Notamacropus eugenii: one gene and its partner. The protein of the gene in region 1 binds, or shares a complex with, the protein of each later gene. Links are inferred from orthologs where the notes say so. Each region holds a gene or a part of one and is shown on either strand. Other genes may lie near its edges.

Region 1 (10,754 bases):
GCATTAGGAAAACATTTAGCATAATCAATCATATAAACAAATAAAAACTATGATTATTTTAATAGTTAAAGAAAATGCCTTTGACAAAATATAGTATTCTTTTATGTTAAAAAACCTCTAAAAAAGCAGAGTAGGGAGAAAAGCCCTGCCTGTGATCAAAAACAAGTATTAAATTCAAAATCATAAAGGATTTTTTTCTCTAAGAGAATAGCTTATAGAATTAGGTGAAATAATGATAAAGCTCATTTGAAAGACCAAAAGGTCTAGCATAAAAATGGAAATAATGAGAAAAAGTATGAACAAAGAGAGCATATAATTACCAGATCTCAGACTATATTATAAAGCAATAATCATTAAAACTATTGAGTACTGATTTTAAAAAAAAATCCAGAAAAGTACATCAGCAGAACATACTAGACAATGAAGTAATAGAAGCAACTGAAAACAGTAGTTCAGTATTTGATAACCCAAGTAAATAAATTTCTATAAAAAGAATTCCCTTTCTGACAAGAATTCTTGGGGAAGCAGTCTGACAAAAATTAGATTTAGACTAATATCTTAGATCAAATACTACAAAAGCTCAAAATGGGTATTCAATCTAAATATGAAAGGTCACACCATAGGAAATAAATTTTAAAAAATGAAATCAGGTATCTTTCATACTATGACTGGAGGAAGAATTCAACTAAATAAGAGATAAAGGAGATCATAAAATATAAAATGGATAACTTTCACTGCTTAAAACTAAAAGATTTTTGCACAAATAAAATCAATGAAGATAGAATAAGAAAAGAAATTATCAGTGGGGAAAAGTATTTGCAGCAAATATTACTTTAAAAAAGGGTCTGAAATCCAACATATAGAAGTAACTGACACAAACATCTAATTATCATCAAGTTTCCTAACAGGTCAAACAACATGAACAATTTTCAAATGACAAATCACAGACTTTGACCACATGAAAACAGCCTCTCACTAATAATGAGAATAAATACAATTCAAACAACTCTGAGATTTCAGCTCTTATGAGGCAAAGATGGCAAAGATGATAAAAGATACAAATAGTGTTGGAGGGGCTGTGGGAAGACAGGCACACTGATGGAGACCTGGGAAATGGTCCAACCACTCTGGATATCATCAGCAGCATCATTTTCCTCCCTCTCCTCCTCCTCCTCATTACTAATAGCATTTATATAATGCTTACCCACATGCCAGGCACTATGCTAAATGCTTTACAAATATCATCTCATTTGATCCTCCCAACAACCCTGGGAGGTAAGTACTATTATTATTCCAAATTCATAGCTGAGAAAACTGAGGCAGGCAGAGCAGAGGTCCCAGGGTCACTTTGTGTCTGAGGCCAGATTTGAACTAAGTTCTTCCTGATTCGCAAGCCATGCATTGTATCTACTGTCCCACCTAGCTGTCTATTTGGAGTTATATAAGAAAAGGGACTGAAATGTCTCTCCCTTTGAACCATTTATCCCTGGCACATACCCCAGTGGAATCAAAGATGAAAACAAAGAATCAACATATACCAAAATATTCACAGCAGCACTCTTTGTCACAGCAAGGAACTAGAAACAAAATGGGCACCTATCTATTAGAAATGGTTGAAAAACCTAAGGTATATGAAAATAATGGAATAGTATTGTTCAATACAAAATGGTTAAATTAGAAGCATGGAAAATCTTTATGAACTGATACAGAGTAAAATGAAAACTAAGAAAAATATACAGATACTATACATACATTTACAATAACATAAATTAAAAGATCACAAAAAGTCATCGAAAAAGTCAAAGACAATTCAACAGAGCTACTATTAAAATATAACTGCAGCTCATGACAGAAACGTAAGGAACAACTAGAACAGAATATTGTAGATGTTACCAGATGGGATCACTTTATTGGATGTTTTTGCTTTTTTCTTTTCACAAGGGAGGGGTAAAGTGGCTAACATAAATACCAAAGACTGATAATAGGTATTTTTCTGAAAAGAGGAAAGGACAACATTAGACTAAACTCTGGGGAGGGGAAGCTACAACTTCCAGGTCACATGTGGCCCTCTAGATCCTCAAGTGTGGCTCTTTGACCGAATCCAAACTTCAAGGGCTGTACGTGAGGGCTTAGAGAGCCACATGTGTCCTCGAGGTCACAGGTTCCCCACCTCTGGCCGTTGTGTTTGTCCTTCATTCTCGAAGAGGACCATGACATCAAGATAATGACATGCAGTTGACTTTGCTTTGAGTGAGGGAGGGCTGTAAAAAGTCACCAACCTGACTTTCTTCTTAGGTCCAGTGGCCTGATATTCTCCGACTGGAGATGGCCCAGGATGCAATGTGAGACCCTGGCCCTTTCAGGCTGTCTTATCACTTTCTCACTTTGAGTGAGATCCACCCTTTCAATGAATAGGCTTCAAGGGATGGCCTCTTTAATCCAAAAAAAAAAAAACAAAACCAAACTGGCAGGGGAAGACCCTCAGGGTCCCTGGGTAAAAGAAACAGTTACTATTTAGTGGGCAATGGAAGGTTCCCTAGTAGACAATCTTAGAAGTCTGATATTCTGATCCTATTAGGTAACCAACACATAATTCTTTCAGGATGCTGATTAGATGTAGCTCACCCTCTACTTTCTGGAAGCAACTAGTTACTAAGCATAATTCTGTTTTTATAGTTTAATATATTTTGCATATGCTTATGTACATGTTTTCTCCAACAGAATGTAAAGTCCCTGAAACCAGGAACTGTTTTCTCTTTGTCTTTGCATCTGTAGCACCTAGCACAGTGCAGTCACATAGTAGGCACTTAACAAAACTGAATCAACTGTATGAATTCAGTCAGATCTTGGAATAATTAGAGCAAAGGTCAAAGTAATTAGAAAAAGGATAAAGATGAGTAAATACTAGATGGATTTACAACAATTCCTACCTAATGTATTTATATAAGCTCTTAGCTCTGAAAGAAAAAATGAAACACACAGTTAGTGGTACAGATTGCTGGACATGGAACTATATAATATATAGAAATATAACATATGAAACCCATGTTTGATATCTGCCTTAGACACTTATTACTGTGTGACCCTGGGAAAATCACTTTGTGCCTGGAGTTCCCACATCTGTAAAATGGGACAGTAATAGCACCTATCTCACAGGGTTCTAGTGAGGATCAAACATGTTAATATGTGTAGTGGTTTGCAGACCCTAAAGTACTTTTATAATAGACAAAAATAAAGACATCAACTGATTATCACCATTCTTAGAGAAATTTAATTGATATAAAACAATCACCAAAACAGTAAAAGCGAGAAAACTTACAAACAAAGCCAGGAAATACTCAGTCTCCTTGTCAAGCAGACATGGCAGCCAAGTGAGACAAGAGCATTTGCAAATTCTTAGGAAGAGCTGAAGTTTAGCTCAGAAAACACTGTGAAAGCCTTAGAGAAAAGGAGTCTACAGAAATCTTGACGTGAGACTCAAATAAAAAAGATCATTCCAACAGTATTTTACAAAACTGGAAAGGAAACATATATAAATAAAATGGAGCATATCTGCCAGCATTTTTACAGAAATATATTCTCATAATCAATTACAATGGAACTACTATATATGAACTCCAGATGTGCTGGCACTGAAATGTAAATGGCACTCAGGAAAATGAAGTTCTTTAAAAAAAAATGTACCTGCATGACAAAATAAATAATGAAAGCTACACAATTTTAAAGATAATCTGGAGGACATATTCAGGATATCTCAAATAAAAGGATTCCTTAAAAAACTGGAAAAGATGGTGGATGGCATAATGATTCAACAGAACTAACCAAGAAGACACTAACAACTACTAAACTATAGGCCTAATTTCTCAACCCTACAGATTCTTTGATATAGCCACACTTTTTTGTGACCGCAAAGAACTGGAAACAAGGTAGATAGAATAAAATGAAATACTGCCACTGAGATGACCTAATGGAGAGAGGGCCAATCAGGAAGACCTAAGTTAAAATTCAATCCAGCCTCCAACACTTTACAGCTATGCGACCCTGGACAAGTCACTTAACCTGCCTGCCTCAGTTTCCTCATCTGTAAAACATGGATAATAATAGCATCTATCTTCCAGTTGTGAGTATCAACTGAAATAATATTTGTAACAAGCTTTGGCTCAGAGAAAAGATAATTTAATTGGGATATTTGAAGGCTGTCATGTGGAAGAAGGATTAGCCTTGTCTTGCTTGGTGGGGAGCCAGAACTAGAAAATAAATGAGAAGAGTTTGGAAAGAGGCAGATTCGATCTCTGTAAAAGGGGGGGAACCCCAAATTTCTTCATTAAAGCTGTCCAAAACCAGAACGGACTGCCTTGGGCTGCTCCAATAGAAGCTGGAGGACCATTTTCCAGGTTCAGGTTTGACCTGGTACTGTTTATCCTAACTAATCACTTAATCTCTTTATGCCTCATTTTCTCCGGGGAGGGTCGGACCAGATGACCTCTAAGCCTCCATTCAGCTTTAAAATCTATGAACCACGTGATCCTACATAGCCCTGCTGTTTCCAACAAAATAAAATGTTATGGGATCGATCATTAGAAGGGACTCTTAAAGCTCACACGACTAGGACGTATCAAAACCGGCTTTCCTAGGCTCTCTGACGCCGAATCCACGCTCTACTTAACCCCCTTTACCTTCTCTCGCACCCCAAAGCCGGAGCACCTTTTAATCCCCGTATTCCTAAGGGACCCATCGGGAAACTAACCCCTGTCACCCGCCACCGGCTTCCGTCAATTCCTGCCAGGAGCGGTAGTCCCCCGAAGCCGCGGGGTATGCTGGGATTTGTAGTTCCCACCCCACATTACCGCCACCCCCTCCCCCGACTGTGAAAGGTATCCCAGTGCCCCCACTCACCTCAGCCGCCACCTCGCCTGCCATGGCCTTCGGCACACGAGAGCTTCTCTCTGGAAGAACTAGAAGCGCTGCTGCCGCCGCCAGCGCCGTTCACTCAGACCCCGGGCCCGACGCCGCCCCTACTTCCTCAGCCTCTGTGCAGACTCAACTCCCGCCACAGCCGTTCGAGCTTTCGCGCTCAGTCCAGGCTGAGGCCCCGCCTCTGCCGCTTCCGACCAATCCCCACGGCCCTCACGCGGACGTCACGGAGATCCCCCCTCCCCTTTGGCGCGGCCAAGCCTGCTCTGCTTTAGCGGGAGGCGCTTGGCGCGCGCTTGTCTCCCCGCCCTTTGCAGGCGAGTCTCTGGGGGGCGCTCTCCGCAGGCGGTCCTAGGGTCCTCCGGTCCCTGTGGTCAGGCGTGGGGACCTTTGACTCTTCCCCAGCTTGGGACTGCGCGTTCCTAAGTTCGCCTGGGTGGCTGCAGCCCGTCAGGCGGCGGGCCCTGAGATAGTTTTTGCCCTGCCCCGGCTTCTGTGGGGGCTCTGCTGGGGCTGAGGCCCCCTCTGTGAGGGCACCCTGGCTTAGGGCCCCCCTCGTGGGGCGCCCCGGAGATAGGGTCCACCTCGTGGGGCTCCCTGGCTTAGGGCCCACCTCGTGGGGTGCCCCGAAGATAGGGTCCACCTCGTGGGGCTCCCTGGCTTAGGGCCCACCTCGTGGCGTGCCCCGGAGGTAGGGTCCACCTCGTGGGGCTCGCTGGGGGTAGGACCCACCTCATGGGACATCCTGGCTTAGGGCCCACCTCGTGGGGCGCCCCGGGGATAGGGTCCACTTCGTGGGGCTCCCTGGCTTAGGGCCCACCTCGTGGGGTGCCCCGGAGGTAGGGTCCACCTCGTGGGGCTCCCTGGGGGTAGGACCCACCTCATGGGACATCCTGGCTTAGGGCCCACCTCATGGGGTGCCCCAGGGATAGGGCCCATTTTGTGGGGCACGCAGGGACAAGGGCCTCTCTCTAGGAGGGGCTTTCTTAGCCTAGCGCCCAAATCCTGGGGATCACCAGTTTTAAGACCCACATTATGGGTTTTCCCAGCTCTGTCTGAGGCCTACTTTGTGGAGTCTTCTCTGTGGGAAGCCTTCCAAGGTGAAAGGCCCTCCCTTTGGGGACTGAATCAGTTTTCCGGGGCATAAGGCTCTCCTTATGACCTCCAGCCCTCTCTTGGGAAGCTTTCTGAGTCTGATTTGTGAAGACTTCCATCTACAAGCTAGTTCTTGTGGATCTCCCTAGATCTAGGACCCCTAAATAACCTAGACCTGTTCCTCTTTTAACTTTTTAGTCTTCAGAGGACAGAAATTGTCCATATTCAGTCACACCTGACTCTTTGTGACCCCATTTGGCATTTTCTTGGCAGAGATACTGGAGTGGTTTGCCATTTCCTTCTCCAGCTCATTTTACAGATGAGGAAGCTAGTGACTTGCCCACGGTCACACAGTAAGTGTCTTAGGCCAGATTTGAACTGGGAAAGATGAGTCTTCCTGACTCTGAGTCCCACACTAGCTGCCACAAAGGATAGAAAGAACATAGTCAAGTCATCCCTTTTTACCTCGAGTCCACATTGCTATTACCCAAAGCTGTGCCTTTTATGTGGTGTGTGGAGTGGCCCACCTCACAAATCACATGGGAAAAGTGTGAGAGCCTCTTTCTTTTTAGATTTAGAATCAGGGTTTAGATCCCAGCTCTGCTACTGTGTACCTGTCTGACTTTAGGAAAGACTGTTCTCCTCTCTAGGTCTTCGTTTCTTCCTTAGCATTATTGAGGAAGGGAAAGAGAGAGGAAATCTATGAGGACATAGTATTATCATTCTTATAAAATGCAATCATTATTTTGGATATTTTTTAATTGTTAATTTTTGGCATAAGAGAGAGTTTGATCTGGAGCAGGGGAGGGTTTTGTGGTTGTTTTTTTTCTTTTTCCAGAGATGACCATAAAGACAAAATCCACTAATGAAACATTTTTTAAAAACATTAATTAAAAGGTGAGGATTGAACTAGATGACCTTACAGTTCTAAATCCTTTGATTTTGTTCAGGGTTAATAAGAAACATGGAAGCTGCCTCTACTCCTCTAGGACTCCCTGAATTTGAAGTGTGGAAGCTGCCAACAACCTCAGTGATTCAGGAAGAGGAGCTACTTTTATGAGAATGGTAAACTATGAATCTCTGCTCAGAAACCTGGCAAAGCTAAGTAGTGAAGGGTTTGTTTTTTCTTTCATCCCTAGAGAAGCACTGCCACCCTGTGGTGTACTGATCCTCCTAAAATACACTGTAGGATTTTTAGCAGTTATGTCAGTCAGTGACTCTGTAAATGCATTTTCTATTCATAATTTCAGCGGACATAAGTCAGTAAGCACAATAAGCACCTATTATGTTCCAGTGCTAAGCACTGAGATTATAAAGGCAAAAACAAGCCAGCATTGAGATGCGTTGTTTAGACTTCCTTTTCTGAAAGAACTCATTATCCATCTCCTGCCTTTCTTCACTGACACAAGCCATTCCCCCGACCTGAAATGAACTCCTTCATTTCCATATCTTAGAATCTTTATCTTCGTTCAGGGTAAGCTCAAATTCTGCCTTATTCCTTCCCTTACATATTTTTATTATATACGGGGTAGCATCAGACTAGGAATTAGGAGACCTGGATTCTGGTCCTAGTACTTCCAAGAGATGTGATGAGAAATAAATGGACACACTTATTTAGCAGCTTATTGTATCAGAAGCAGAACTAGATTTGGGGTTAGAGGATTTGGGTTTGAAATCTGACACTACAGTTTGCTAAATATGTGACAAGGGGGTCTTAGTTTATTCATCTACAAAATGAAGAGGTTGGAATAGATGGTTTCCATAAGTCCCTTCCAGCTTTAATTCTTTTTTTTTTTAGTTTTTATTAACGTTTTCTATTTCTGTATCACCACAATTTCCCATGTATCTTTCCCCTGCCTCCTCCTGCTCCCAGAGAGCCATCGCATATGATAAGTATTTTTTTAGATAGAAGAAAAGGCAGTATAACTGATAAACACATTAGAAAGGTCTGAAAATATGTGTAACACCTGTCCACTTCCCACCTCCATGAAAGGATAGGTGTGGAGTGTCATCTCTTCTTTTGAGTCCTTCTTAATCTTTATAATTTTGTTGCATTTACTTTTTTAGTCATTGTTCTTTCCATTTGCATTGTTGTAGTCACTGTGTATGTTGATTTCTTGCCTCTGCTTAATTCACTCTATATCAGTTCATATATATCTTTCCATACTTCTCTTTTTTGTCACATGCATCATTTCTTATAGCATGGTGATATTCCATTACATTCGTGCACTACAATTTGGTTAATTGTTTACCAGTTAATGGGCATCTACTTTGTTTCCAATTTTTAGCTATCACAAAAAGTGCTGCTATAAATATTTTGAAGTATGTGGGGACTTTTTTCCTATCAGTGGCTTCCTTGAGGTATAAATTCAGTTATGGAGTCTCTAGTTCAAAGGATATTTTGGTCACTTTATTTGCATAATTCTGAAATGGTTGTACTATTTCACAGTTCCACCAACAATGTATTAATATGCCAATCATCCAACAACCCCTCAAACTTTGATGATTGCCATTTTTTATCATTTTTGCCGGTTTATAAAGTGTGATGTGAAACTTCAGTTTTGTTTGGGTTTGCATTTTTTTTTTTATTACTAGTGATTTGGAGCATTCTTTCATGGAGTTGTGAATACTTTGCAGTTCTTCTTTTGGAAACTGTTCATATCCTCTGACCATTTATCTATTGGGAAATGGCTATTTTATATATATATGTATTTATTGATTATCTATCTATAGGATACCAAACTCTTATCAGAGAAATTTAATACAAAGATTTTTTTTTCTCATTTGACCACTTCCGAGTATTAGCTTTTCCATTTCATGTTCTCTCTTTTGCTATAAACACAGTATTATGTTCCTTCAATTACTTTAATCTTTTTTTGAGGTGGCCCTGTTCCCACTGGCTCTCTTCCCTACACCTCTGATCCCCTCTTTTCATTTGATACCCCTTTCCCTTTAGGATTTTGTTTATTAGTTCCTTTTTCTCTCTTGCTATTATGTGGTTATATATTTCTTTTCCCTTTTTTTCCTCTCAGTCAAATAGATTCTTCTTCCTCTCCTGCAAATCAGTTAATTCTGTTCCTTAGATTTCTAATTTCATTTTTTATACCGTTTTCCAAAAAGGGTTTCTCTTACTCTCTTCATTATCCCTCTTTCTGTTTATTCTAGACCCTCATTCTCTGATTCATGACCCCTATAATTATTTTTTTTCTTTTTACTCTGTATTCTTCATGCAGTCAAAGCTTCTAAAGTATCCATTCCAGGATCTCCCTTGTAGGTGCTTTCTGCTACTGCCTCATAGGAATTGCCCCAAGGATTTACCTTTTCCATTGTACCATACTCTCAGAACATTGCTATTTATTTCAGTTGTCAGAGAGGACATTGCCCCATGATAGGACCCCTCACCCACCCTGTCCCTAATTGGATGGGTCACCATTGATCTATACCCTCTCTTGTTGATATTTTTTCTACATTTGCCTGGAAATCTCCTTGTGTCCCCATGTTCTCCCACTCCTCCAAATGCTACTTTTCCCTAGGCATTCCAACTTCCTCCCTCCTAGGACAAGTAGACTTTTAAGCACCAAATCCCCCAAGTATCATCCAGTCATCTGCCTTCCCCAGCCTTCTCTCTTAACCCATAGGAGCGTTCATCAGCAAAACCCCTTCTCATTTCCAAAGTAAGGCCTCCTTCCTTTTGCCCCTCTTCCTTCAGTGTTTCCCCACTCCTCACTCACTCTTCTGTAGGTTCTTCTCTTTCTAAGACCACACAAGCATGTTCCCCTCTTTGGTAGGCCTTGATTTGACCCTACTGCATCACTTATTTCTCTATCTCCCTGCTCCTCTCCCACCTTTTTATGTACCTTCCTGTGTTGTAATATAGTTCCACAAAAGAAGAACTCACCTGTACACAGAGTGTTGCTGAATTCTATCCTTAATACCCCCAGTCTGCCTCTTCGCTGTTATCTCTACCAAATTTCTGCCTTCACTCCTGTCTCTACATTTAATAGAACATTCATTCGCTCCTGCATTTATGTTTTTTGGGGTGTTTGAGAGGCAAATCTCTTCAGTTATGATTTTCTTTCTAAAAATATTTCTAACTCTTCTTTATTATTGAATGTCCAGGTCTTTTGTCCTCTCTGGTTAAGTTCAGATTTGCAGGATAGGTGACTCTGAACACATCCCTCCTCCTTTCTCTGGTAGGTATAGAACAGTCTTCCATTATTCGAATGTCCTTTCCTTTGTATTTGAAGGACCTTTTCTTGATGATTTGAAGATTCTGTTGTTTCTGAGTTGAATTGTTAAGTTTTGTTTGTTTGTTTTTCTGAAAGCAATTTGTGAATTTTTTCAACTGGAATTTCATTTTATGTGTTTAGAAGTTCTAAGTTATTCTCTTCTATTATTTCTGTTATGTTCTTATAGAAGACCTATAATCCTTAGCTTGTGTCTGTGTGGCCTGTCTTTAAGTTCATTATGTTTTGCTTGCATAGTGAGCATGTTTTCTTTTAACTGCTATTGTTTTTTGTTTCTTTTCTTCTAAGTTGCCCTTCACTCTTAAGTTTTGCAGTCGCAGTCTATCATTCTCTTCTTTGTTTCTTTGATGAGTCTTGTCACTGCAGATTCAAATTTTTCTATTCTGTTCATTATTTTTGCTGTGCAGGACATGAATTCTCTCATAATTCTTATTTTTCTTTTAGACCACTTAGGAATAGACAGGGTCCTCCGTTTTATCAAGTGTTGGATCATTTTCC
Region 2 (10,797 bases), about 89 Mb from region 1:
GTGCTATTTTTTATATAACTTCAAGAAATTTTTAGCACAGGTCCTCTAAATCTAGAAGTGTCCTGTGTTTCTGTTTCATCTCTGTCTGAGACCCTGAGACCCCCAGTTTTCACTGATAGTTCCTTCCCAATTCAATTTACTTAAGCATTTATTAAGCACCTACTATATGCCAGGCATTCTATTGTGAATAAAAACACAAAATGAAAGTTTTTGCCCTCAAAGAGCTTACATTCTATTGGGGAAAAACAACATATGCACAGATAAATTTTTTAAAATCCAAAGTAAAAAAAAAAGTAAATATAAAATAATATGGTGGTGGTAGTGGTGGTCCACTAATAACTGGAGGGATCAGGAAGGTTCTCCTCTAGGACTTTCAGAACCTTTGTAGTATTTTGTGCCTTTTACTTGGCAACACGGATAATTTTTTTTTTCACAGATACATTTTCACAGATCCCAAGTTTTTTTAAAAAGTTAACAAAAAGTAATATGGGACTGCGGGTAGTGGTGAGGGCACTAATAACTGGAGGCATGAGGAAAGTTCTCTTCAGGAGTCCCAGAACCATGGTAGCATTTTGTGCCAGTCACCTGATACTTAGCCATATGTTACCTTAGGGCAGGGGTGGGGAACCTGTGGCCTCCAAGTCACATGTGGTCTTTTAGGTACTTGCCTGAAGCCTTTTGACAGAGTCCAAGTTTCACAGCAAGAGGATTTGTTCTGTAATGTTTGGATTCAGTCCAAGGACCTAGAAGGTTACATGTGGCCACAGATTCCCCACCCCTGCCTTAGGGCATCATAGCATTTGACCTGGTGACCCTCTAGTTCAAATCCCTCATTTTGAAGATGAGTAAGTGAAGAGATTATTCAACCCTTTGTAGATACTTTAAAAATCTACTAATCTACTTTTTAGATACTTTAAAAATACTACTAATCTACTAAAAATCTAAAAATACTCTAAAAACCTTATCAATTAGACTTTTAGCCCATTAAGTGCAAAGGCCAGTCTTATAAGACTTAATATCTCCAATATGGAGCATGGTGTCTGAAATACAGTAAGCATTCATTGGTTACACGAAGACAGGAGATATTCTTCTCCCTTTTCCATCTTGACCCCTTAGTAAACCAGTTTAAGTCTACACTGTTGTCTTCTCTTGAACCCCTTGCCCTTTTTTCCTATCACCAATCTTGCCCTGCTCCATCTCAGCCCTGTAATGCTCCCACCATAAGCTATCTTCACTCTTATTCATGTGTTTCAAAATGAATCTGGAGAAAATCAGTTGATCAATAAATATTAAGCATCTATTACGTGTCAGGCACTGTTGCTTAAGCACTGGAAACCACAAAGCCATGGTGATAGCATCCAGTGGAGGGAGAGTTGGTGCGTGATATTTTGTTTGTAGGTGATTGTGCCCTCATTGAAGCCTCTGAGGCCAAAACACAACAAAGTATGGATTGTTTCTCTGCTGCTTGTAGTTCTCTGCCTAACAATTAACACCAAGAAAACAGATTCTCTACCAGCCAGTACTGCACCATCCATACGTGGAACCATCAGTTACAGCAAATGGAGAGATTTTGAATGCTGCAGATAAGTTCACTCACCTTGGCAGTGTACTTTCCAGGGATGTATACACAGATGATGAGGTTGATTCACACATCACCAGAGCTAGCTCAGTGTATGAGTGGCTCAGAAAGAAAGTGTGGGAGATCAGAGGTATTAGACTGCCTACCAAACTGAAGGACTACAGAGGCACTGTGCTGACCTCATTGTTGTAAGCCTGGGCAGTATACCAGCACCATGCCAGGAAACTGAATCACTTTAATTTGAATTGTCTTAGGAGGATTCTGAAGATCACTGAGGTTCTTTCTCAAGCTAAATTTCCAAGTATTCAAACTACTGCAAAGAGTGCAACTCCAATGGGCTGGCCATGTTGTCCAAATGTCAAACATATGGCTGCCTAAAAGATATTTTATAGAGATCTCACGTGGAGGTCATTTTCAAGATCTCTCTGAAGAACTCTGGAATCTATTGCATGACATGGGAGATGCTGGCACAACACCTCCCAGCATGGGGTGCCCATATAAAAGAAGGCACTGTGCTGTATGAGCAAAGCAGAGTTGCAATAGCTCAAAAGAAATGTGAAATGTGCAAATTTAGAGACATCTCCACTCCAAATGTGGATTCATGTGAACCATTTGTGTTAGACCTGTGGTAGAGCTTTTCAAGCTTATATTTATCTAATTGACCACAGTTGGATAACTTGTATCTTGACTCCAATAGACTGATGTCATTTTAGTCTTTGAGAATAAAGGACAAAAACCAATCAACCAATATTATATGTGTATGTGCGTACATTAACAAAGTTATGCTAATTAGGCCCTCCCTGCTTCAAGACAGTCCTTTTTGTACCTCCCTAATTAGCTCATTTTCCCACTCAGCACAGTGACTTTTCCAAACCTTTTGATCACTTTTCAAAACTCCCGTAACTCCCCTTTCCCTTATCCTTTCAACTGAAAACCTTGCCTCATACTTCATTGAAAAAAATTGTGGCCATTTCCTGAGAGCCTGCTTTTCCCTCTCAATTCACATCTAAGATGAACCTTCTCCTTGTCAAGGCAACCCCTATAAACATACATGTGGCCCTATTCTAACTCATCTTCTCCAGTATATTTCCCCCTCTATCATTCCTCTTTTCTCACATCTGTAATTTCTCTACTTCCCTAATGCCTACAAATATACCCATTTCTCTCCCATTCTCAAAAAATACTTGATCTATCCATCCCTCATAGTTACTACGCCAAATCTCTCCTCCCTTTTGTGGCTAAACTCCTTAAAAAAGTCATCTAAAATAAGTGCCTCCTCTTCCTTTCCATTCTTAACTCTCTATGGTCTGGCTTCTGATCTCATTATTCAATTGAAACTGTCTTTTCCAAACTTACCAATGAACTCATGCCACATCTAATGACCTTTTCTCAATTCTTAACCTTGACTTCTCCACAGCTTTTGACACTGTTGATTATCCCGTTCTTCACATTTCTTTCTCTGTAGGTTTTCCTGACTCTCTCTTGGTTCTCCTTTCTATTTGACTACCCATTTTCAGTCTCCTTTAGATTTTCATCCAGATCCTGCCTGCTATTCATAGGTGTCCCACAGGGTTCTGTCCTTGGCCCTCTTCTTTTCTCCCTTTCATTTGGTGGTCTTATCAGCTGTTGTGAAATTCAATTATCTCTATGCTAATGATTCTCAAATCTACTTATCTAGCCCTAAACTCTTTGCTTATCCCAAACTGGCATCTCTAAATGGATGTCCCATAGATCTGAAGTCATCTTCTTTGCCCCTCCAAACCTTCCCCTCTCCCTAACTTCCTTATTTTTGTTAAGAGTAACATCATCCAGTTACCACGGCTTCCAATCTTGCTGTCGTCTTTGATGCCCTCACTCTAATGCCCCTTATCCAATTTGTTGCCAAGTCCTGTCAACTTTACCTTTGCAAACTCTCTCATATTCACCTCCTTCTTGATGTCACTGCCACCATCTTAGTGATGGCCCTCATCAGCTCAAGTCTTACCTATTATAACAGCCCATGTTGTTTTTCCTTGCCACAAATTTCTCCTCACTCCAGGCCATCTACTACTCAGCTGCCAGTGCAGGTTGACCATGTCCTGCTCTTCCCCACCCCCATTACATGGCTTCATATCACTTCCAGGATCAAATAGCACACCTCATTGCCTTTTAAAGTCCCTTATCACCTGATCCTCCACCTCAACTTTCCAGTCTTCCAATAATCTTACATCTGCCATGTACTTTGCAATTCAGTGACCCTGGCCTCCTTATTGGTCCTCAAAAAAGACACTGAATTTCTTGCATTTCTACTAGCTGTTTCCTATGCCTAGGATTCTCTCTTTTCCTTTCTACCCCTTAGCTTCCCTATTCTCTAGCTTCCTTCATATCTCATCCAAAATCCTGTCTTTTACTGGAAGACTCTCCTGATTCCCCTGAATTCTAGTGCCTTTCCTCCACTGATTATCTCTAATTTGTTCTGTATATGCCTTGTTTGTACCTAATTGTTTACATGCTTTCTCCCCCTTTAAACTCAAGCTCCTCAAGAAGAGGGATTATCTTTTGCTTTTCTTTATATTCCCAGTGATTACCATAGTATTTGTCACACAGTAGTGCTTCTAGGCAGCTAGGTGACACATTGGATAGAGTGTGGGACCAAGAGTTCATATCTGGCCTCAGATAACTTGTTAGTTTTGTGATTCTGCAGTTCATTTAATCTCTGCCTCCATTTAGCAGGGTTATTGTAAGGATCGTATAAAGTATTTGTAAAGCATTTAGTACAGTGACTGGCGCATAATAGATGCTACATAAATGCTTATTCCCTTTCCTTCTCCTAATAAATGTTTATTGACTGAGACGGAAATTTAATCAACAAGTATTATTATGCATGACAATGTGTGAAATGCTGGGGATACAAAGAAAGGTGAAAGAAAATACCTTTAAGGAGTTCATGATCTAATTGGGGAGACAACAAACAATAACGTACAAACAAAATCTATACAGGATTAAGTTGGACATACAGAGGAAAGGCACTAATAATTAAAGAGGGCTGAGAAAAGCTTCTTATAGATTTTAGCTGAGATATAAATGAAGGCAGGGAAGCCAGAAGGAGGGAGAAAATTCCAGTCGTGGAATAGAAGTGAAAATACAGAGTCGAGGATGGAGTGTTGTTGGGTGTATGTGTGTATGTGTGTGTCTGTGTGTGTCTGTGTGTGTGCGTGTCACAGTGAAAAGGTCAGTGTCACTGGATCACACAGTATATGGAGGGGAGTAAAGTGTAAGAAGACTAAAGCTAAGAAGAGGTCAGGTTATGCAGGACTTTAAAAGCCAGAAAACTTCATATTTTATTCTGGAAGTAATAGGGAGCCAATGGAGTTTATTGAATAGGGAGATATTATCAGACTTATTTTTAGGAAGATAATGCAAATGTTATTTGTCCCCACTTTATAGGTGAGAAAATGGGCTCAGACAACTTGTGCTGGGGAAACAGTGTGAAGTAGTAAGAAAAGTACTTGCTTCTGGAGTCCAAAAGACTTTAATCTACTGGGCTGTGGAACTCCCATCCTGGGCCTGAGTTGAAATGATTACTATATAAGGACAAATTCAGCTAGCCTACTATATGTAGCAACCCCCCAGCCAGACCATATTCCACAGCTCATCAAAATCATCTTGCCATCTGCCCTGCTGCCAAAGAGGGCATGTCACCTCTTCACCCAACTCCCAAACATATACACTTTCTACTTTTTGCTCTTGAAAACAGTAACTCAATGCAATTAACAAGTTATCAGTTCTGAAACTACCCAGAGGAAAGTTCTTTCCCTGGTCACCACTTCTTTATATGTACAGTCACCCTGATTAAAATGTCAGTTCTGTGGGGGGCAAGGGTTGTCTTACTTTTGTATTCCCAGTACTTGGCATAGTATTCAAATAAATGTTTTAATAAATGCTTTTTCTTTTATTCAGTCTTGCCACTTGCTCCTTGGGTGACCTTTCAAACGCCATTTCATTGCTCCATTTCAGTTTCCTCCTCTATAAAATGAGGCAGTTGGGCTAATTAATTGTTACGGTCCTGTACATCTCTAACAATCTATCCTTTGGATATCTATTAGCCAAGAAACTATATTTATTCACGGATTGGTAACATACAAGTTTAACCAACATGTCTTTTCAAAGCTTGGATTCTGATTTTTAGCCACCAACTTGCAGGCAAAGCAGTCCAGGACTGCTAGATAGTAGAATTAGGAATAGTGCTTACAGACGGTGACAGACATAGGATTTAGGACTGGAAAGGATCTAGTTCAACCCCCTTCATTTTAGAGATGGAGAAATTTGAGACTAGTAAAAGTAAAGAGTTCCCTTCAAGCCACATAAGGATTAAAAACAACTATTCCTCTGACTCCAAATCTTTCATTCTTACCACTATGGTATCACTTAATATTTAAAGGTAGGCATGTTTATTGAACGAGAATAAGTGATGATATGCAGGGCATTCTGCTAGGCCCTGGGAAATACATAAAGTCCTTGTCTAGTTAGAGTAACTAGGGGCAGTGAGGGGGCAGAGTGGATAGGGTTGGGTCTGGAATCAGGAAAACCTGAGTTCAAATACAGCTTCAGCCACTTGTTAGTTGTGTGACCTCAGGCAAGTCACTTAACCTTATTTGCCTGTTTCCTCATCTGTAAAATGAGCTGGAGAAGGAAATGCCAAATCACTCCAGTATCTTTGCCAAGAAAATGCCAAATGCAGTCATGAAGAGTTGGATATGACTGAACAACCACAAAACAAGAATAACTACATTACACAGTATTACATGAAAGTGACAAAATAAAATGCTATCGAGATATCTGTAGAAGAAGGCGGTTACTGATCCATGCATAACAAAGGAGCTCAGGTTTCAGGAGAAAAGGGCATCTAAGTTGGGAAGAAAAGGTTGATTAAAGAATGGGGACAGCCATGATCCAGGAAAGCTGGATCTCCCTTGGAGATGCAACCTGCCAACTGTTTCTATCTATGGATATTACAGCTATAACTACGGAAGACCCAAAAAAGGCCACCAACATTTTTGGCATTGTCAAGTGGTTCAACAACAGAAAATGATTAACGATTTTATCTGTGGAAATTAAAGTTGAGGACTTGCCATGTGCTTGCCTATGTTCCTCTAGGGACCAGTGGACCTTTCCATCTGACTTGCAGCTGAAACTTCCTACTACATGGTGTCAGGGCCTGCCTCCCCTTTCTATTTGTATCCCCAGAGCTTCACAGTGCACACTGTAAGTGATTAATTAAATGCTCACTTTTTCCTTCCTCCCCGCTTCCCTCCCTTTTCTGCTTCTTTTTTCCTCCCTTCTTTTCTTTCTCTCCCTTCTTCCCTTCTCTGTTTTCTTTTTTCTTCCTTTCCTCCTTCCCTTGCTTCCTCGTTGGACGAAGGGTTGATTGCAGTTAAATTTGGGTTTGATGTCAGAAAAAACAATTAGTTATGGAGAATAGGCAGGGTTCACTCGGGAGGAGGAAAGCCACTAAAAGAAACTAACCCACCACCAGCACATCGTGGGATATTAGAAGCCCATGCCGGGCTCACTCTGTCCTCTGCCCATGTGACTGGGCTGAAGGCTGCCTCCCTTAGGCTCCACTGTTGTTGAGGTCCAAAGACATATTCGTGAATTGGATTTAAGCGGGGCAGTTGCCCAACATGCGGTGGGTGGCCTTGGCCTTTCTAAATTAAGGTCTCCTGGCTAGTTAAGTAGCAGAACTGAGACTAGTAAAATAGGATCATAAAGATTCTATGATTATCTTATTGGAGATAATCCTTCTTAGGGTGAGAAGGTGAATTAGAGGCTTTTAAGGTCTCCTCCAACCCAAAAGGCACTCATGCCCGAGTCCAGGTGATTATCCTTTTAGACCGAACTTCTTTGGAGGAAGAAGTGTCTTTTGAGACACTAAGCGGTTGACTTCTCCGGCTTCGCTGTCTACACCGATCAGATTCAGGAGAAATGGTAAAGTCTTTGCTTCCTTGCCTTTATAGACACGGCCCTGGATTTGGGATTTTCGGGGCCTCAGCGACCAACACGCTAGCTTCCCGATGCCCGGACCGCGCGGCTGAGGCTCCGCTAGGCTGGCTCGGGCTTCAGCGTGGGCGCCTGCCTGGCCTTGCGCCCGGACGGAGGAAACATTGTATCCCCTGCAGCGGACGTGCTCCTCCAGCGCTTCTGGACCCCCTCCCCCAGCCGCCCATTCCTGCTGTTTCCAACTCTACCTTTCCTGGGGCTCTGCAGAACGCAGTCTACTCCTGCGGTCACCCCCGCCCGGCCCGCCTCGGCCCGGCGCCCTCTCCGGCCGCGGGAGCGCGCACGGCCTCCTCGCTTTACGGCCACGGAGCGCGCACGTTTGCTGTCGTGAGGCGACTGGCGAATTTTGGCGGGAAAGGTTCCGCGTTTGGATTCCTCCGGCGGCGGCGGCTCGGTAAGCAGGTCCCGGGGGTCCTGGCCGGGCCTGGTTCCGTGAGGAGGGGGAGCGGTGGACCCGGGCTCTGGCTGCGAGGCGCGGGCACAGGGCGGCAGGGAGGGAGAGGGGCCTGCAGAGCGGCGCTCTGAGCCAGCTCCAGGGACAGGAGGCCGGACTCGTCAGGGCCGGACCAGAGGCTCCCCCCGACCCCCGTCCGGCGGGAGCGCCGCCCGAGGAGGAGGGGGAGAAGGAGGGGCAACCCCTCTTCCCTATCCTCCCCTCCCCCTGGCCCCGCCCCCGCCTCCCGGGACGGGGGGAGGGGGCCGCCTCGGCGTTCTCCCGGTGTGACCGAGCCGGAAGGCACCTTAGAATAGTCTACGCTCAGTCCTCGTCCTACGGGAGACGAAACCGAGGCTCCGAGAGGGGAGGGTCTCCCCTGAGGTCAGCCAGCCCCTGGGGATTAGAACCCGGATGCCCTGACTCTCCGTCCAGCCCCGCTCCTCGCTCCCCGCCTTCGCCCCTCCGTGGCCCTTTAAGGGCTCTGAGAGGGGCGGGGCTGCCGGGGTTTGTTTGTGCGGCCCGGGATTGCCGACCCCGCGGAAGTGGCGCTTCTGAGCGGACGCCCGAGAGGCTTGGAGGGTCTTGCCCAAAGTCAGAGTCAGAATGTGCCCCTGGAGGCTGGCACCGTACCCGCTAAGCCGCACCGGCATTCCGCGATGAGTAACTACGAGTCACAGGATGGATATATGTAAAGGGGTCGGAGGTTACGTGGTAAAGACCTTGTTAGTGTAAGGTGGGGGAGGGAGGCTAGTAGGAGGCTTAGTGAAGGCTTGCACTGACCTGGCCTCCGTGTCTGCTGCTTCTGCTTCAGGGAGGCCCTTCCTGGTGGAGCCATGGCTGTGCCCTTTGTGGAAGACTGGGATTTGGTGCAGACTTTGGGAGAAGGTGCTTATGGAGAGTGAGTATGAGCTCCCCTCTTGTTCTGCTGTCTTCTACACAGGTGCAGGACATAAGTTTGGGATACTATTGATAACACCGACTGGGACTTGTGTAGCATTTCCGTAAGTTAAGAGAGCTGACCTAAATTCATGCCGGTTTACAAATATACTTATCCTTTTTTGATCCTTGCAACTACTTGATGTGGTAGGTAGTGAAAACTGAAACTAAATAGGTTAAGTGACTTTTTGTAGAAATAGCAGAACCTACTATGATCTCAAGTCTTCTGGCTCTTGAGACTAGTGTTTTTTACATCACCTGTTTGCCATTCTTAGGTGCTTGCTACCTACCGGTAGATTTTAGACTAGTAGTTTAGATTGGAGGTGTCAGACTCATCTGGGCAACTCCTGAATGTGTCCCATACCGCAATAAAATGTAACAGGGAAATGTTTAACAAAATGAGTAAAAGTACAGTACAACATGGACGATGGTCATTTGTGGTTTCTAACTAAATATGTTGCCTGTAGGGATGCATTTCTATTCGATATCACTGATTTAGATGACTAAATTTAAGGTTTGGAGGAAGTCCAGGTATGTAATACTAATTTGGAATAAATTTAATTTTACTTCTTCCCTTCTCCAGTTATCACAAAAACATTTCCTACTGTAGAAACTTTCAGAAGTTTCCCTACATATAGTGTTGTGATGTTTTATTTAGCAGGACAGCCAGTATTGCACTATTCTGTTTTGTTTCTGGTTTCTGTTGTAGAATACTAAGGTTGAAAGAGACATTGTATCTCTTATCTCTTAAACCATCCAGTATAGCTTATGAAGTATGATGGTGATGAAACATTTTCCTTATGACAACACCACCGTTAAGTTTGGTACTATTTTGTTAATTAGGGGAGTCAAAGCCATTATTGTGGCAATCATTACTGACTAACCATCAGCAGTTCCAGGTCAATGGGTCAATCAAGCATCTACCTTGTGCCAGGTACTTATTCATAGTCAAGGATTTGGGGATTATGGGCCAAAAGAAAAGGGAATTCTCACAACTACAAGCAGACCGTAATGGTGGCTTCTTTTTTTTTTTTTTATGTCTTTTCCTTTTCTTACCCTTTCTTGTTTTAACATTCTACTTTCAAAGGACTGGAAGGGAACTTCAACCATCATGATTTTTCTTTCATTTAGCTTCCTTTCTTTTAAACCTGTAGAATGTATGACTTTATAATAAGGTCTAGGAATCCAGCTACTCAGTTTCAACAAGCTTTTGGTACCCATTGTGTGCCCAACATAGCTATCTCTGGACCATTTAGGTATCCTGTGCCACATATTCAGAGCCTGCTGGTGATAAGAATTACTTTTTTGGGGGTAAGAAATTAGTCTGGGTAAAGCAGTTTTTGAACTAATTTTTTTCAATCAGCAAGCATTTACCAACTGTCTGCTATATGCTAGTCACTGTGCTAGGTTTCTGTTTAATTTTGAAATTGCAAAAAAAAAACAAAAAAGAAGCCTATCGAAGAGAGTACCTTCATTTACTGATAATTAAAGAATTAGTATCACCAGTTAGTTAACTTGCACATATTAAATGCCTACCACATGCTAGGCACTGTGCCAAAGCAGTGAAATAAATAAATGATTTAAATGTCTAAAAAATTATGGAAAGATGAGTTAATTATTTTCCACTTATTTTATAGAGTTCAGCTTGCTGTGAATAGGCGAACAGAAGAGGCAGTTGCAGTGAAGATTGTAGACATGAAGCGTGCCATAGATTGCCCAGAAAACATTAAGAAAGAGATTTGCATCAATAAAATGTTAAACCATGAGAACATAGTGAAATTCTATGGTCACCGACGAGAAGGCAATA

The links. Proteins that work in one complex are often made in the same cells at the same time.
Region 2: the proteins of CLSPN (region 1) and CHEK1 are in contact, whole or in part, in a crystal structure (PDB 7AKO), measured with the Homo sapiens proteins. The link is inferred for Notamacropus eugenii from reciprocal best matches to the Homo sapiens genes CLSPN and CHEK1. Residues at the interface, in NP_071394.2 of Homo sapiens: Glu938, Leu940, Leu941, Leu943, Cys944, Ser945, Gly946; in NP_001107593.1 of Homo sapiens: Lys53, Lys54, Cys57, Met61, Arg129, Thr153, Val154, Phe155, Arg156, Tyr157, Asn158, Arg160, Glu161, Arg162.

What each region holds. Positions count from the first base shown.
Region 1 is NC_092876.1:83,925,619-83,936,372, reverse strand, and holds the start of CLSPN (claspin), read right to left. Parts: upstream 5,159-10,754; 5' UTR 4,921-5,158; coding exon 4,897-4,920; intron 4,765-4,896; exon of another isoform or gene 4,677-4,764; intron 1-4,676.
Region 2 is NC_092876.1:172,600,933-172,611,729, forward strand, and holds the start of CHEK1 (serine/threonine-protein kinase Chk1), read left to right. Parts: upstream 1-5,666; 5' UTR 5,667-7,543; coding exon 7,544-8,012; intron 8,013-8,568; exon of another isoform or gene 8,569-8,765; intron 8,766-8,865; coding exon 8,866-9,055; intron 9,056-10,627; coding exon 10,628-10,797. UniProt on the Homo sapiens protein: Serine/threonine-protein kinase which is required for checkpoint-mediated cell cycle arrest and activation of DNA repair in response to the presence of DNA damage or unreplicated DNA.